3 linked regions of the Caenorhabditis elegans genome follow. The protein of the gene in region 2 purifies or fractionates together with the protein of the main gene of each other region. This does not show direct contact. Each region holds a gene or a part of one and is shown on either strand. Other genes may lie near its edges.

Region 1 (5,661 bases), 5.8 Mb from region 2:
ACAACGTATGCAACAGCAAATTCAGTCAGTTCAAGCTATTCAACAAGCACAGACTCCAAGTCCATTTTTCGGGAATTCACAATCCGATAGCAAAGGAAATTATTGGCATGGTGATGATAATGCCAAACTTCTATTGATAGCAAGATCCTCTTGGCCATGAATGTTGCTTTTCGTGTTGTAATTTATTCTTTTAAGTCGATGAAATTAGTTTACAAATATATTCAATGAAATTAGTTTTACAATTTAAAAGTAATGACAACAAATTTTATTGAAATGATTAGAATAATTTCTTACACAAATAAAATAGTTGAAAAGGTTGTTTGCTTGTTTCAAGAATGCGTACGTGGAAAAATGATTAAACACAATTCCTATAGTGCTGAAATTACCAAACCAAATGGCAAATTATAATTAGCCCTTTTAGCATTACAGAAATGGTTTTAAATTAATTTTCCACTTGCCGTGTTCCACATTTAAGTCAACAAGCGGTGTGGTCAATTTCTCTTCGTGAACAAAACCTTACACCCTCCTTTCTGAACCTTGTGGCTCACTTTAACTTATGATCTCCAGGGTAACATATATTGTATGTTCAAGAAAGAGGAAACAGAAACGTTGTTCAAGAAATTTTATCCAAAGCTTTACAGATTTATTTGAAGTTGATCAGATTTTTGAAAATATGACATCGCTCAGAAACCAAAAATTTCAAGATAAAAGTTTTATCTTTTGAATAACTGCGGTTTTGCTTTATAATACAAAATAAAAACATCTAAACATTTGTCTATGTAAAATTACAATTTTGTCACAATACAATTATAAGTAGATGCGAACAAAGGGGTGATCTTTGCCAAGTACGGTAATGATAGTGGCGTAGGTGGCAATAAAACAGATCTTGAAAATGAAAAAGCAGGTGGTGATGGAAAAAAGACTGACAGTCACGCTTTCCATCATCTTGACTGGCTTTACTGAAAGACGAAACCCGGTGTAGAATGTTGATTTGGTAGGAGAATTTAAGGGGAAGTGGGGGTTGAATTAGAAATGGAGGTAAAAAGTAAAACGCAATTGGAAATTGAAAATGTGTTTTTATTGGTGAGTTAAACCTTTAGAAATAATAGAGCATTTCAATTCGAATGTGACGAAACAATTGAACACCAACAATGAATAGAACAATCTGAAAACATTTAAAAAGTGGCATTAAAAAAAACTACAAGAAACTCACATCGAAAATTGTCAAGACGACAAGAATCGAGAATATGGCTGAGAAGTGTATCTGGGATTCACGATAAAGTGGCGTTATACAACCCTGAAAACAAAAATCTCAAAAAACAAGGTATATTCCCAGTGGGTTACGGTAGGCGGTGTAGCCAAATCAGAATTCGTCTTCGGAAGTAATTGAGTCGCATAACCAGAAGCCAACAACAATACCAACCACCTGAAACATGCTTAAGCCTTCATAACATCAAAACCAGGCATAATGCATACTTGAATCAAAGCGAACAATACAACAGTCCAGGAAACAATCTTGAAATGAGATGTCACTTCTTCAAATGATTCCGCAATTTTTGCGTAGCATCCCTGATAAATTGATCGAAATTACTACATCTATAACATCAATATACAAAGTATTTGATATCACGCGTTAAGAATATAATTATAGGTTAACTTCAGCCGACATTCAATACAAGTAATGTTTGTTACGTTACGTGACAATACGTGCAGACGTACATATTTATGTATAAGCCTTTGATTTCACATGGGACCAAATCGTATAGTAAAGACAAACAAAAAATCCTAGAAAAATAAAAAACATGCTAACTCACATGGGAATGTCTCATGATTGTGTTACAGTATGGTCTTAATCTTCCATGTTCATCAGGTGGGCAACATGCTGGTGGAAATTGGTAGCGTCCATGGTTCAGCTGATACCATCCGGAATTGTTGAACTCTCCAATTTTGGAGTCTACTCCGCAACACGATTTCTGGAAATAAAAACTTAAAGTTTCTCCAGACCGAAAGGTAAAACATCCAAAGTACAGTAGTTATGAGCATTTTATACAAGTATCTTTTAACCTAACTTCTCACAAAATAATTATTACGGTATGGTTTAAAAAAAAACGGTATCCGTAAGTAAATCTCAGAATGAGCCGAGAAGCAAAATACTGAGAATTACATAAAAACAAAACTTGCATTTATATCAATTTGATGAGTGCTACAAATTATCAAAGAACCATTGAAAAAAATATTATTCAAACCTTCAAAGTCAGTGAGTAGATCTGTTGAAAACTATCGCAAGATTAGTGAGAATTGTGAAAATTTAAAAAAAAAGTAGTTTATAGTTACTGTCACCACTTCTTTACCATACCTCAATCATAATTTTGTCCCATGCTGTTTTTACCAACAAACCATCTTGAGGATTGTTGCTGACTTTCATGTTATCCGTTCCATTGTACATTTTTAACGACGAATGAAGAATGTCTCGAAAGTCGTTTTCAAACTGCAAAAAAAAACAACGATAACGTTTTATAAAATTCTGGATTGAAAACAAGAAAATTCTTGTTTTTTTTGTTGCGTTGACTCACCATGTGACTGTGAAGGAAAGCGTATATTGTTGCAGCAATTTGTATTGCAAGTATTAACATTAAACAGGATGAGTACTGAAAATACATTTTTCAAAAACGCCAAATAGTTTTTGTGAGCCTAGTGTTTCTGTATTGGTACATGTTTATATACCTGCCCCAAAAACACTTTCCAATACTTTTCAATTAGTTTTGTTTAAACATGTTAGTTTAATTGTAACGTGAAAATGATATGTATCTGTCAGATAACTTACGCAACATAAAAGTGGTCTCCATTCCTTAGCAGCACCACAACACCCCAAAAATGCCACTACAATGACAATAAATCCACCAACGAATAACAAATATCCAAACTGGCGGACTGCTGTTGGTTTTGTTGCCTGAAAATGGTATGGTTTAATACTCCCAACTGTATAAAGTGGTAACCAAGTCTCTTAATCCAGCATCTTGATCGTATCCTTGAACTTTTGCGGTGGCGAATGCAAGATTGTCAATTGCATATTTGTCGAGAACTAGCCATAATCCAATTCCAAGACATATCAAGCCACAAAGCTGAAATAATTCTTACTTAGTTATAGTCTTAGTTAGTTACTTAGCTAGTTATAAATTAAGTATAGTTGTCTGATGTTCATACGATGTTTGAATTTGTTTGGTGTTTCAAAATCCAGTTTTCATACGCTGGTTTTATTCTGGGCCAACTAGATTAAAAAACAGTTTGTCATGTAACGCTAATGGTAAAAAAATAGTATGTAGAATATTGTTCGAGCAATTTTTTTTATTTTGTTATTTTCAACAAAAAATCATAAAAAGATATGAAAGATTAATATTTTTGTCTTGTATTTTTTAAATAATGAAATGAAGCTCTGTTACTAGACTGAAATTTGATTGATATTTATTAAAGAATATATTCAACATTCTGAAGCTTAGCCTTGTTTGAATCTTTGGTAACCTTAGCGTATTAAATTTGGAACAAATTAAAATAACATTTTCCACGAATGACTTTTTACTTTTTAGGGCTGTACCTTGCGTTTAACTAACAGAACTATCAACATTTAATCGAAACAATTACCACAGTGTTCGTTAAATGCCGCGGTCATAAATTTTAATGCCCGGCAACAGTTGGTGAGCCATTAGGCATTCACACATATTTATGTTGGAAGGCAATGCTCGTCGATTTATCAAACTTCCACCAAACACTGACCAATTGTTTAAGCTTCTTTGAGCACAAACCGCCCCACTTACCAGAAACACCAAATTGAATATGAATAATGAGAATTTGAGCGCTCGCGCCGTACAGCTTAATGGCATTGTGCTTTGATTTCTGAAATTCATTTTTTGAAGCACACAAGCAAAAAGACGAACAGAAAAAAGATGTCAATGACATGTGTTATAGAAAAAAAGTTAAAAAATGAAGAAGTAGGTTGAGAAAAGTAGAACAGGTGTTCAAAGCGGATGAAAGAGCAAAATTTATGACAGAGTTTCTTCTGAGAGAGATGTTCTCAACTGGTGTAATGCGAAATCGTCCAAGAATGAAGAGCTAAGAGCTTGTGAATTTTTGATTTATATAAATTGGTTTTAATTAACTGAAGTACATGTTTGACAAAAAGCGAGTGTCAGATGAGAAGCATGGCAAAATGAACTTTTGTTTCCAACCTTTGTCTTTTGAGTTTAAACATCAGTGGACTTTTTCAAATCCGGGATACATTAAACACAAAGAAAATGTGCTGGTTTCGTGAGAAAAAACTATAAAATTCTTCTAAATTTCAAATAATAAAGCAACACGCTAAAAAAATTTTTTGAACTATTTTTCATGAGTTTATTTGAACTTTTTTTCATGAGATTATTGAATAACAAAAAGTTTCTACACCAACTAAAACGTGCAACCAAATAAACAGGAAGTTGACAAACTATCCTCTCACTTTTATGAATAACTTTTTATATATTCCGTTTAATTAATTTATTATAATCTAAAAAATTTTTGAAAAATCAAACCAAATCGAACAAAACTCCGAAAAATCGAAACTGGAACTCAGAAAATAAAAAAAAATAGGTTCAATTTTTTTGCGGTTAGATCCTTATAGTTAGCAATTAAGCCGTATTTTTAGAAAATCGCAAAACTGAAAAAATTAAGAAAAATAATTTGCTTAAAAAACGACGTTCAACTTCTTCTCTGACTATGCTTATTATTTTTGGAAACTGTTTATTTTTGGGAAGTTGAACTGTGGGAACATTTTCGCTAAATACATTTTATTAAAAAGATTTATGACAATATAGTATGTACTTTTATCATACTTTAATCTAAAAATATTCTGATTTTGAAAGAACACCATATCTTCTGAAGTAAAGACCAACATTAAACTAAAACATCGTTCATGATGACGTGGAAGTGATGCTCTCAAAAAGGCACTGAGCAAATGAAATAGAAAACGGTGGTCCGGTAAACGCCGCCAGGTAAGGAAGGTGTTGGGTTTCACACTGATCTACATTTATGGGGCATGTAAATGTGAGAACTGAAATAAGAGAGCAAAAGTTCCGCGAACGGATGAACTGGAATACGACGGATAGGGGATGGAGAAGTGCGAAGATTTCCAACCGCACAATTACTATTATGAGCATTCGAAAAACTTCTAAATTACTTAATCTTCAAAAAAAATCCAAGTGAAACCTGATTTCGATTATAAATATTTGCTCTGAAGTTATACTTATTACAAAATCTGATGCACTTTGGAACATAGGAATAACTAAATTGAAAATTATGGGCCGCACATGGAAGGCACAATTCAATCAAATCTAGCAACAAGGAAGGATAAGAAAAGAAGGAGGAGCACCCAACCATTCCCCACACGATACCACCACATTTCTCCACACAACTATGCGAAACGGATAACTGAGGGCGCAGAGGATGTGGGTTCGGAATTAGTGGTCTTCTCCCCCTTCTATCTCACTTACTTGCTCCGGATGAGAGAGACAGTGTGCACAAGGATGAGATGTACTGCGAAATCATCGCCGAGTCAGAGAGTAACAACAGTTGTCAACTCGTTCATGCCACTGCTGGCAGAAAAGTGAAAGAATTGGGAGGGGTATGGGAAAC
Region 2 (4,909 bases):
TCGTTCAGGTTTGTTCATGATGTTTCGCTGTAACAATTTTTTAAGGTTATTCCAGAATGGATTTGGAGGGGTTTTGACAAACTGCCTACTAACTGCTTTGAACACTCATGGAATATCAAATGTACTAATACCATTTGTAGCAATGAACACAGTTTATGTAGGTGTTACTTACAAATGGCTTCCCGAAACTGCAGGAAAAACTCCACAGGTAACAAATAATAATTAGAACATTTATATTTTAAATACCTATTTTAATTTCAGGAAATCAATCGTCACTTCTCACCAGAGTTTCCTGGAACAAATGTATTCTTATACTTAAAACACAAAGCCTCGAAAACGTTCGCATATCTCAGTGGAAAACCGGCGCTGATGAACTTTATCAGTTTTGTGGTGCAGTTGGCGTGCTGCATATTTCTTCTCGATTTTGGAGTGAACATTTACAAAAACATTGGAAAGTGAACTGGGTCTCTCTTTTCAAAATTGATACCAGTTGGCAATCGTCGAAACAAGTTGGTCTCTCAAGAAAAATGGGTTCTTATGCATGTAGTTATAAATTAGGGGTCGCTTTGTTTGTAGATTGTCCATGAAATAAAAAAGTGTTTTGTTATATACGTTTATTGATACAATAAATACGTTTTAAAGTTGAATATACATTAAATGAATAACATAAATTGTTTACTTTTTGAGTTGCTACAAGCAACAAATGACAGGTGGCCCGTGGGAATAACGAAGTTATAGGAAATAAGGAATGCAAGAATGAAATTAAACAGATGTTGGAAATTAATACACTTATTTTGCACATTTTGATGGATCTGGACGATCACACATCATTGTGTCAGCGTGGAAGCTCAAACCGTTGGGGCACTCAAAGTTGTATGAAATACCATTCACACAGCGGATAAACTTGAGGCAATCACTCGGAACTCCGAAGAATCCATCCTTGGTACACTTGAAAGCCGGTGTAGTGGTTGTTGGTGCTCTTGTAGTTGTGGTGACAGTTGGCGCAGATTTTGTTGTCGTAGTTGGAGCTCTAGTAGTGGTCACAGAACATCCAGAAGCAGTGGAAGTGGTACAGTATTTCAGGGAAGCAGAGTATTGAAGTCCTGATGGGCACGACATGCTGTATGATTTTGCTGAAATTGAAAATTGTTCATAAACATTCTAAATAATATAATTTTTAAAAACTTACAGCTCAGACAAAGAACGAAAAGTCCGCAGTTGTTGCTGTTTGGATAAAATCCATCCGATTTTCCAGAACAGACATTTGTATTGGAAGCTGTGGTTGTAGTAGCTGCACGTGTTGTAGTTGTGGTAGCGGCAGTAGTTGTGGTTACTGCTGAAGTCATTGGAGGGCGTCCAGTTGTGACCGTAGTTGCTACAGTGGTTGGAGCAGTTGTGACGCCACCTTTCTTTGGAATGATAACTCCTCCAAGCTCCTTAGCAATGACACTGATGAGTGGGTAAAGCTGACCATTAGAGTTGCTGCATCCAGCATTGAAATCGTCAAAATCAAGAGTCCATACAAAAGCTCCTCCGTAACCTTCTCTCTTAACGTATGCCATCTTGTTGGCAAACGACTCTTCATCATCGTACGACCACCATTGATTTCCTTGTACGAGATATGGAACTTGAGACTGGCTATCCCAATATCTGGTGGCTCCATTGGCGAGCATCTCGCAGAACTCGAAGTAGGCTCCAACTCCGGCTTCTTGAACATATTGAGTGATCTTAGCTGGGGATCCGCTTGTTCCTGGATTAATTGCACTGGCATTGTTCAAAGTCCATCCTCGTCCATATGTTGGCATTCCGACGATGATCTTCTCTTTTGGCATACCCTTCTGGTTCCAGTATCTAGCAGATGAATCAACGTTCCATCCATTCCATTCAGCTGGGAGCTCGGTCGTAGCATAGAGTGGAGAGTTGAATCCAACAAGAGAAGCCCATGCTCCGAAGAAATCGTAACTCATGAGAAGAATAAAGTCAAAGTTCGGTGCCAAGTTTGGAATATCATACCCAGCATCGATTGTGGCTGGTCCTGCGGCGACAGCGGCGGTTACAAGAAGACGATCCTTTCCAGTGCTTCCGGCTTCCGACTCACAAGCAGCCTTCAACTCCTTCACGAGGGCAACGTAGTTAGCCATGTCAGTTGCTCCAGAAGGGTACTCCCAGTCGATATCAATACCATCGAATCCCCAAGTGCGAACGAAAGTGATAGCAGAGTCGATAAAAACTTTTCTAGACGCAGAACTGGCAGCCATTCCTTGGAAAAGTGCAGTTCCAAAACTCCATCCTCCGAACGAGAGAAGGGTCTTGAGTTGGGTGTCAGTGACTTTCAGCTTGTTAACTCTTCTGTACATTCCTTCTCCAGCCCAATCATTTGGCAAGTCTGCTGGATCATATGCTCGAACGGTGTAGTCAGCGTTCATCCATCCGAATGCAAAGAGAATATGCGTGCAGAGTCCTGGAGTGTAATCCTCTGGCACAAACTTGGCTCGTCCTTGTCTGAAAAAATAATTGAAAAAAAAACTAACTTGCAGACCAGAAAACCAGAACTTTTTCCCACTATTCATTCCTCACTGCATACTATCATCTTTCGATTATCGTCCCCCTATTCACAAATACGATTAAATTTCAAACCTGTATTGAGCCCAGTTGGTGAAGTAGCACGGTCTGATGTAGCTATTGGTTGGCTCGGATCTCGCCACTGATCGTGAAGTGATTTTGTTTCGTGCAGCGACAACATCCGCCGGATCTGAAGAGAACGTGTGAGAACAGCGGGGTTTTGTTTACGTGCTCTTGAACTATATTGGCAAACACTGAGTGACCATTTGAAAAGTCAATACTAGACTTTTTGTGTCAGTCTGTATCAGAAATTCAATGGTTTCAGCTGAACAGTCATTAGAAAAAATTGCCGAGATAACTTACGGTTTCTAATTGTAGCACCCGTCCATGTGTATGCAATTGGCAATATGAAACTTGCCACGAGAAGGAATTTGCCTAATAGCATGCTGAAAAAATACAAAAATATATTTATTCAGAAATACGTTCACCAAATTTTCGAATGAGAAGAATGGGTGAAAGGGCTATTGCGGAAAAACAAGCAATTTAAAGGAACAAAAATGACCAAAATGTACATAGGTAGCCGGACTGGTGGCGGTTGTTTGAGCACCTCGGCTCACAATGCACTTCGTACAGTGTGCTCATTTTCCAACGATTATCGCTCAAGGCGAAAAGAAATGAGGATGGGTGAGTGAGGGGGACTCCACTTTCCGCAAAAACCACCGCACAAACAATAAAATTATGACGATTTGAGTCAATCCAAGTATCCAAGAAAAAAACAAATTTGAATAAAACACGTAGACAATAATCAGGCCTGTACCAGGCCAAAAGGTAGAATAATTGAGTTGGTCCGTCAGGCAGCCAACAAAAATGTCTGAATGATTGTGGCTACATAGAATGGTCTCTACATGGGAAGGTGGGCGGAGCACCTTATCTAGGTCAATCTCGGCCCATTAATGCGGCCCAGACCCTTTATGACATCATGAACAATAGCCGAGCAGGATTTGATCTTTGCTCTCTAATAAGAAGGGTGTTAATGAATGAGCAGTCTACCAACATTGATTGAAGAGACAGTCGTAAAGATGGTAATCTTGTTGCTCAGTAAGATTGAAAGATCAGACTACAAAACAGTTGGGAAATACGGTCAGACGAGCACTTTAACATTGATTATTAATATTGCTTTCATGTTTAAATTTTTGAGAGAGAGCTTATATATTATTTCTAAAATAACAAAAGTTTATATTGTTTCACGTACAATGTCTGATAACAGATAAAGTGTTTTCAATACTTAAGAGCGTCCCATGACAAACACCCACACAAGTATGCCGGAAAGTTTAACCGTGTTTAAAACGGAAGTGACGACGAATAGAAAAATATTGTTTAAAGCATGTTAAAAGTGCATTGCTTACAGCACTGTTGTTTTTGGAGCTCTCGATCAACCGAATTTTTTCAAATCAAAATCATGCTTAATATGTACTAACAAAAAACGATCACCTAACATGCACATAAGTTTTAACAGTTTATAAAGGAAAATGTTTTGGAATTAGAAACCTCGAAAAAAATTCGATTCTACGGGCACGAGAATATTGCTGGAATTATTCACTTTTTCGGAAACACAAATTTATGAATATCGCTAGTATACACCAATTTCGACAGTGACGCGGACAACTCGTTTTGAAAGCCCGCCAAAAAAAAAACGAATTTCTTTTATTTTCTATTCTAATTACCTATGCTTTAGATACACATATTTGAACATTAAAGCTGAAGCCTGATGCAATGCTTCAACTTCTCTGGCAATATTCAAAAACTTCTATGTAAGACTGAAAATTTAAAAAAAATCTTCAAAAAAAATTGAGTATTAAATTATGATATTTGGGCATGTGGAACTGTGATAATTAAACAAACTTCTTACTGACAAGAAGCCACCTTTGAACAATTTCAGAATCAGAAAATACAATCTATTTATTAAAAACACTATTTTGTCTCACTTTTATACTGATTAGTCAGATTTCATTTTTCGTTACTTAAATGATGATGACAAATAGAACAGGATTTTGAAATTTTATTAATAACGTGTTTGCTTATCAAATTAATTTCGTTGACTCATCACTATTGCTCAGAAGATATTCCATCGGATCGTATTTAGCTATTTCGTGTTTCAGCTAATATCCACAAATCTTTTTGGCATCGAGAGTACGACTCATCCATTTTCGCATTTTAAAATGCTCCTTTTACTTTTCGCCCTCTGCGGTGGGTCTCGACGAACACAATTTTTCTCGTGGACGACTGAGTCATTTGCACATCCCACAATGGGTGTCCTTTCCTTTCCCTTCTTTCCTTAGTTTTTTGT
Region 3 (7,317 bases), 3.1 Mb from region 2:
GGTTATTCAGTAGGCATTTTTTTTATACAAGGAATTGTGAAATTTAGCTAAACTCGGCCATAATTTTTCGAAATTTTAAAACGCCCTGAAATGTTTTAATTCATCAAATTTAATTGATTAATTAAAATGTTTGAAGACTATTACCGTGATAATAAAACTTGCTACTCTGCCTATAAGTGAAAAAATTAAAATGACAAAAAATTATTTGCCCAAGAGTCAAACCTTTGAGCAATGGAGTGCTGGAGGACGCCATTGCAAATCCGGAAGTGTAAAGTGTGTTAAGTAGAGCCAGAACATTTCCAGATTTGAGAGAAGGTGATGTTAATTCATCCGTCATATTTAGTCGCCCAGTGTGTCGTGAGCAAATCCAAAAAAAAGCAGATAATGAGAGAGCCCCCGGCAACAAGCTATTGTCCGTCCTCCACTAGCTTACAAAGCTTTAGACCGGATATACTCATCCGGTCGTCGCATGCCAACTTTCAAATTTGGCTCCTATTTTTGAGTTCAGAGACTTTTGCAATGGAATAAGAAATGTGTTTGGTCGCAAAACGACAGAATCAAGATGCAGTTCGGCTGTTGTTGTGAGAGTGGACATGAACAAAGTTTTTAGAAATATTTATTTTTTCAAGTGAAAACGAATTTTATCACGATGTCACAATAAGGGAAAGCAACAGTAGTAGGTTTAGGAAAACAAAATTGAAAATTTATACATATTAGGATTTAATTAAAAATGCATATCGAAAGTATCTTTTTCGTCCGGATGGAAACCTTTGTTATCAATTGAATATCGTGGATTGTGATCCTCAATTTCTTCCTCATCATCAACTCCAATTTCACCGTCCTCTTCATCAGTTGTATAATAATTGTAAGTATAATAGAAAATGGAGAGAAGAGCAAAGATGGCAATAACTACAAACATCGCAGCAGCATAGACAAAGAATTCGACGGCCATATTTTCAAATAAGTTAAGGATTGTGATGACTACAATGATGGAATCTCCAGCAGCAGTGGTCAAGAGCCAGAGGGCTTGTACCAGAGCTTTCATTGATGGGGCAGACTGTAATATTTACAGTTAGAATAGCATTATAAATTATAAATTTTAACTATTAACATTACCTGAGAATATGCAAATTCGTATCCGGTAATTGAGAACAAAATTTCTGCTGCCGTGATGACAACGATTTGTGGAATCTGCCAAAGAATCGACACACTATTGGACTGTACAATTTGAAGCTCGTGGATCTTTGGATTTTCGTATGTTCCGGTCAATGCATAGATGAACACACCTCCCTGCTTAACTCTGTGAAAACCGTAATTTGTTGGAGCAACGAGTGTTGCTGTTTTGTTGTAAGTCTGCCGGTCTACATCTTTTGGTGTATTCAAAAGGTAGTACAACTGCCAATATCCTGGCTTTACAGATTTCTGCTTGTAAGTTACAGCCGGTTGGGAACTAAGAGATCCAGTAATTGTAGCGTTTTGATCTCTGTCATCGGTATGACTATTATAATCGGTTTCCCAGAAGTAAAAGTCAGCAGGATGTCTTGGATTACATGGATGGTTAACATCAAAGTCGCTTGTATTTTGACGGCACATGGCAAAGTTTCCTCCGTATGAAGAATTGAATACAGTGACAATTCTGGAATTTATATATTATTTAACCATTGTTCCGTGTTATGAACACCCCTACCCCATAGAGAATTCTCCAGTTCCATCAGTTGGCTTATCAGTGTTAGCTGTGTTTTGGTAATATCCAAATGATCCGACTCCAACGTAGATGATCTTCTTGCTCTTGGCAGTCACTTTAACAGTTTTCTCCAATTTTGATGTATCTCCGCAAGCGCCGTCATAGCTGAGGTCATATGTGAGAGTCCAATCGCCATTACCTTTTGCGGGGGATTTTGTTGTAAAAAGATTATAAATTCCAGACTTGTTCTTTTTATCTTCGTGAAGATACTGAAACGTTGTTGTGTAAATACGTATAGTAATTCATGACAAAGGCAATAAATTAAATAATTTTACGATAACTTTTTCTGACTTCCTTTTTTCTTATCAGCACTTAAAATGGCATGATCTTTCGTTTAGAACTTAGGAGGAGAAAGTTAAAAGTGAAAAGAATCAAATTCGAATCTCAAACCTTGTCATGGGGAAGAACTCTCTTGTGAATTCCAGACATAACGGTAATGGTGCAATCAGTTTCAAACTGGTTCCAGAAACTAATTGATGCTTCTCCTTCTTCCGGGAGAGTTGGAAGAGTAGTCTGTAAAGAATTAATAAATTATGGAACAATTTTATTTGAAATTACATTGACTTGAAGTTGAACAAATCCAGTGATCAAAAAGGCAAGTGACGCGAGAAGCCCTCCAGTGACCATTTTTCTCAAAGGTCTAAAATATAATAATTCATTATACACAAATAATTTTATTTCAATGAAAACTCACGTAAGTCGGACACACTTGGCAGCGACTGGGTAGATGATGACCTGAAAGAGTGGGATAAAGAGAAGAATAAGCACGGCGTTCAATGTCTGCATTTGATCCGGAAGAAGGAGAAGGGTGTCAGAAAGACGACAATCCATTTGAATAGCTGAAAAAACACATTTTTAACATGTGAAGAGCGGGGATGTCTCAGTCGGTAGTGGTGGTCGCTAGCAATCACAAAATTGCACTCCTAGGTTCACTAAGCCAACGCTGGGAATTAGATTAATCAACGGCTGACTTAGCCCCCCGGCTTGATTGTAGCTTAAGCTAAAACCCAGTGGGTGCACCACAAGGAATTCTGCAGCTGACTCCCCAATTTGATCATTTTTAAATTGTTATCTAGAACTTTACAAACCTTGAATGAGCCAGACAGATCCTTGCTGATCGTAAAGTGCCCAGAACATTGGTACTGGCAAGAACATGACAAGAACACGGAGTAGGGAACGGACATCATCGATGAATTTTTTCTTTTGGCACAGATTCTTGTTTCTTTTCTCAGCTTGGAGTTCGAGGCATTTTGCATCAAGAGCACAGTCGTGAGTAGTAAGGTAGTGAAGGAGCCAGTGTTCCTTTGGTGTGGATCCTGACTTCATTTTGTTTCCAACAGCTCTCTGAATATTTAATCTTGGTTTCAAAGCAGTTTAGAAATAAAACAAAACAAAAACTTACAAACATAAGACGAGATACTTCTCCGAACACGTTGTCCTTTGGTGGGTTCTTCTTGTACCAAAATGAACCTCCCATAAATACCACTGTAAGAGTTTAATAGTCAATGTGATTTTTGAATATTTTATCTCACGTGTTGCAACAATCATAAGAATAGCCGGAATACCAAAAGCCATTGGGTAGCAGGAATCTTGTCCAAGGCATGGTTGAGCTGAAATTATTGTACTCTAATAGTGTTTTAAGAATTGTCAAGTTTACATCTGAAGATGGGAGAGATGAAAGTAGAGATCATAGATCCTGCGTTGATGGAAAAGTAGAACATGGAAAAGAAGAGTGAGAGCATTCTTTCTTGTCCTAACTCGAATTGATCTCCTCCGAATGCAGACACACATGGCTTGATTCCTCCGGTACCGAACGCAATGATCAGTAATCCAGACAGATCCATCCATCTGAAAATTCAGCAGTTTATTTCTTGTGAACCCTTTTTAATTTTGTTCGGTTTCAGTTTTTTAATGTTTAATGTGGCGCGTGCACTGTCGGGCAAAAGTTGCCACGGTTGAAGTTCTTATCATCATGCCTTGTTTCAATCGAGAGGAATTCGTAAAGACGGAAAAGTTGCATGATAAGTTTATGCGTCGAATACTGGAACAAGCATCACTTACGGGTGAACTGAAGATTGAAAATTCTTAGTAGAAGCGAGAGCGAGCACGACTTGTCCGATTGCGTATAGAATTGAGACAGAGAAGATTGTCCTGAAAAGTCGTTATTGAGTGCAAAACAACAATTATTACATACCAGAATTTTCCAATGTATCCGTCCGCAACAATTGATCCGAGAAGTGGTGTGGTATAGCAAAGCACAGTAAATCCATTGAAGAAGATCGTAGATTGTGAGTCGGTGAACTTTAGTACGTTAAGCAGGTAGAATGTCAAGACCGCTGCAAATTTTTCGTGTCACGTTTCAATTGATCTTCTGTACTGCCAACGTCATAATCATTATGGTAATAACCGGATTATGACCTTTTAGTGATATCGGTGAAAAAATGTCTTATTTGCATTTCATGTGTCAAAACTTTCGATTTTTAAATATACTGGCATGTAGATAGGAAATTCACTTTTTGAGTACCATGTACTTAAAGTAAATGTTGATAATACCCTTATCTGAAAATGTCCACCCACCGGCCGAAAATCAAAATAAGGTTTAACTCTACTTTTTCTTCACCTTACCTCTTAAACTAAACTAAAAATATATGTACAAATAAAAATATTTTTTGTAGATTATTGATACATCAGAAATGTTTAAGGCTGTTTAAAGGATCTATTATATCCTTTACACTTTTACCCTAACAAATAAAGCAACTCACTTCTCATTCCATAGTATGAGAATCGTTCGCAGAATTCGTTGGACACGATGCACAGTGTTGTTTTAGGCCAATGCCTGATCATATCAGGCCATGTTGTGTAGATTTTCTTTTCCGGTAGTGGTACTGTTTCGAGTTCATGGCCGTATGATGTTTTGCCTGAAAAACTCGTTCTGTCGATTTTCGATCAAAAACTCTGAAATTTACTCTTGTCGCCTTTTTTTTTGATAGATAAAATTTCCCACGCGGCAAGATTAGTTATAATCCATCTAATTTTAGATAAATGCCATTATCACTAGTTTTAGCGGCTGTTAAGAAGAATTGTATTTTACAAAACAATAAAACAATCTGGAAATGATGTTTCGGTATGCTGGAGGTAAGTTATTTTGTTCCGTACAGTGTGTTGCAAAATCTGCATTAATATTAGATTTATTAGTTGAGGGTTCTTGTTACTCATAAGTAATACAAAATTATTGGATTACAGTTTTCAACAGGAGCCCAGTTGTTAATGGTAGTCGCTAGCAACTAGGGGTCACGAGTATAAAACGTGAGGGGTACCCCAGCCTTAACTGGAAAGTGGATCTTTAAAATCTGCGACTGGATGATTGACCACATGCGAATCATATTTCGAGAGAAATACAATTGAACAAACTATTAAAACATTCAAATACTGTGTAATGTTACAATATCTTAAAAATTAAACTACATGGGTGGTATAATATTCAGGCTTAACCGTCTTAATAAATGTATTATGCTTTATTGAACTTTTATATGATGAATCAGTTACCTTTCGAGCTAACGCTCTCCGAGCGACTCTCCGAGTAGCCCATAGTGGCGATACTGACGAGGAATGAGCCTGTCGCGGTATTTGAGGCAAGAAATGAAGAAGAAGGAGGAGTATGGAGGTGGGCAATAGGTGCGTTGGCTCGATGACTGTGTCCTCACCAATTTCTTGCTGCGTCTCTTTATCAAGTTGAACCGCACTGTTCTTAATAGTGCTTCTCCTACTCGCTTAAATATTTCACTCATAAATTTTATCATTTCCACTTTCTTTTTCCACCACCTCTTGTAAGCGTTTTCGTACATTACATGCTCCACTAATCGGATAGCGCAGAAGGCGAGCAAAGGAATGAGAGTACGTGTCACTGTTGGAGACCAAGTTTTGATGCGGGTTGTCTGTAATTCAATGTTATCACCTATTAAGATGTACTGTTTCTGAAGAGAAAAAGAAAAATTGAGTGGAGGGTAAAGAGAAAAGCATGACAAGAAAGGCACAAAGTTGAAAAGGGTGTAAAATGGTGATATGAGCCGACTGAATATCATGTCGGCGTGATTTATGATGAAAAATGATTTAGGGGAAGGTTATTCTGTTTTCTTGTTCAAAATCTTTAAAATCTTACAACACCATTCAAAAAATTGAATTGTTAATTATAACACACAGTAAACATAACGAGACGCTGAAAATACATATGAAAACGGGTTAATGAGTGTTTTTAAAACAAGGCACCATAAATGGTGAGTAGCGAATGTAGTTAAAATGTATGGAACCACTTCTATAATGTTAAATAAATAAATTTTGAAGTATTTTCATTTGCAGCCAAAAAGTTGTGATTAATCAGCTTTGCTCACATAAAATTGGTAGTCGATTTGAAAAATAATAGAAATTTAAAAAAATAATATTCTAATTAAATCTTATACACTTGTACTGGAACATTGTACAGCGACACTACTCTTAATTTATCAAGGAGCCTAAACTATGTATAAACTTGATAACATACGTTTAATGATTTTTTTTTCAAAAAAAACTTTGAAAATTTAGACTGTTTTATGATGATCTGGATTGCAATAAAAATTTTCGGACAAAATTTCCACTGACGACAATAATCCATATGTAATGTTTGGTGTCAATTAATGAAATATTTTCAAGTAATACGTGTTTACCTTTCAAGGAATTTGCTATATTTCCTAAGAATTTTTTTAATTTTAACAAAAAATTGCGTTTCAGTTTTATGAAAAGGCGTTTGCAAGCAATTGCAATGTGTAGATGTGTAGATACAATGTGTAGATAGGCAAAGTGTAGAATTGACAAAAGCTACAGTAATAATAATACGTTGATTATTAACACAGTACCCATATCCAGATTTTCCACCCTTTTTTGTAGTCTATCATTAAAACGTTAGAAGTCTATTTCTACAATACACATGCAAAACTTGAATGCTATAAACTTAGTACGTGAGTCTAGACCATCATTTTTCTGGGAACCCTGATTAAGAACACAAGAAAAAATAGTTGAAGTTCAGCGAAACATAATTTGGATCAATTCGGCGACTTTGTCTGATTCATCCCCAGATTTCTGTCTTGATCTTCTGCATGGTATGATCTTGAAAATTGCCATTTGCTGAGTTTTTATAATATTTCAAAGTAACATCCACTGATAGTCAAATGTTTGTGTTCACCAATCATCTTGCCATCAAAAAAAAACTTTTTGAGGCCACGCGTAATTTCATCTTCTTTTCACTCTCAAAGATTCCCCCAATTAAAACTTCTACGACCTTTATATTTGATTGGCCGAATGAGACAAAACGATGCAAACACCTTACAGGTCTTCCCGCGTACCAAATTTGTGTTGTTATTACCGATTAAACCCTGAACTAGTTCATGCTGTAAATTTTTTTACTTGGTCTTTCATTTTGATTAAACTTGGCATATACTTGCCGCCGAGAGCAAAATGTTATTTGTAAGCATACTGATATCACAGTTTGTTACTTGTCTGACGCAACCTGATTTTTTTGAACGGCCTCCTCCTCCAGGTAA

What was found.
Region 1: the proteins of cht-1 (region 2) and tsp-11 fractionate together in Caenorhabditis elegans (co-fractionation; one large-scale study listed by BioGRID). This does not show direct contact.
Region 3: the proteins of cht-1 (region 2) and pept-1 fractionate together in Caenorhabditis elegans (co-fractionation; one large-scale study listed by BioGRID). This does not show direct contact.

The regions. Positions count from the first base shown.
Region 1 is NC_003284.9:9,161,405-9,167,065, reverse strand, and holds tsp-11 (Tetraspanin), read right to left. Parts: upstream 3,903-5,661; coding exon 3,813-3,902; intron 3,123-3,812; coding exon 2,997-3,122; intron 2,951-2,996; coding exon 2,825-2,950; intron 2,649-2,824; coding exon 2,574-2,648; intron 2,489-2,573; coding exon 2,357-2,488; intron 1,974-2,356; coding exon 1,815-1,973; intron 1,570-1,814; coding exon 1,477-1,569; intron 1,427-1,476; coding exon 1,364-1,426; 3' UTR 1,345-1,363; intron 1,298-1,344; coding exon of another isoform or gene 1,214-1,297; intron 1,166-1,213; coding exon of another isoform or gene 1,097-1,165; 3' UTR 623-1,096; downstream 1-622. Other genes in the region: B0563.10 (Neuropeptide-Like Protein), read left to right, coding at 1-160.
Region 2 is NC_003284.9:3,397,010-3,401,918, forward strand, and holds cht-1 (putative endochitinase), read right to left. Parts: upstream 3,009-4,909; 5' UTR 3,008-3,008; coding exon 2,926-3,007; intron 2,753-2,925; coding exon 2,638-2,752; intron 2,503-2,637; coding exon 1,190-2,502; intron 1,134-1,189; coding exon 790-1,133; 3' UTR 604-789; downstream 1-603. Other genes in the region: slcf-2 (Major facilitator superfamily (MFS) profile domain-containing protein), read left to right, coding at 1-8, 56-208, 262-459.
Region 3 is NC_003284.9:6,455,049-6,462,365, reverse strand, and holds pept-1 (Peptide transporter family 1), read right to left. Parts: upstream 5,495-7,317; 5' UTR 5,334-5,494; coding exon 5,291-5,333; intron 4,663-5,290; coding exon 4,507-4,662; intron 4,081-4,506; coding exon 3,939-4,080; intron 3,896-3,938; coding exon 3,806-3,895; intron 3,593-3,805; coding exon 3,402-3,592; intron 3,355-3,401; coding exon 3,277-3,354; intron 3,230-3,276; coding exon 3,147-3,229; intron 3,089-3,146; coding exon 2,833-3,088; intron 2,584-2,832; coding exon 2,439-2,583; intron 2,385-2,438; coding exon 2,303-2,384; intron 2,258-2,302; coding exon 2,135-2,257; intron 1,954-2,134; coding exon 1,688-1,953; intron 1,637-1,687; coding exon 1,117-1,636; intron 1,058-1,116; coding exon 725-1,057; 3' UTR 599-724; downstream 1-598. Other genes in the region: K04E7.1 (Serpentine Receptor, class BC (Class B-like)), read right to left, coding at 223-337; Zinc metalloproteinase nas-33, read left to right, coding at 7,232-7,313. UniProt on the Caenorhabditis elegans protein: Low-affinity peptide transporter that is necessary for proton-dependent uptake of di- or tripeptides, and to a minor extent tetrapeptides, in the intestine. Transport is independent of sodium and chloride ions.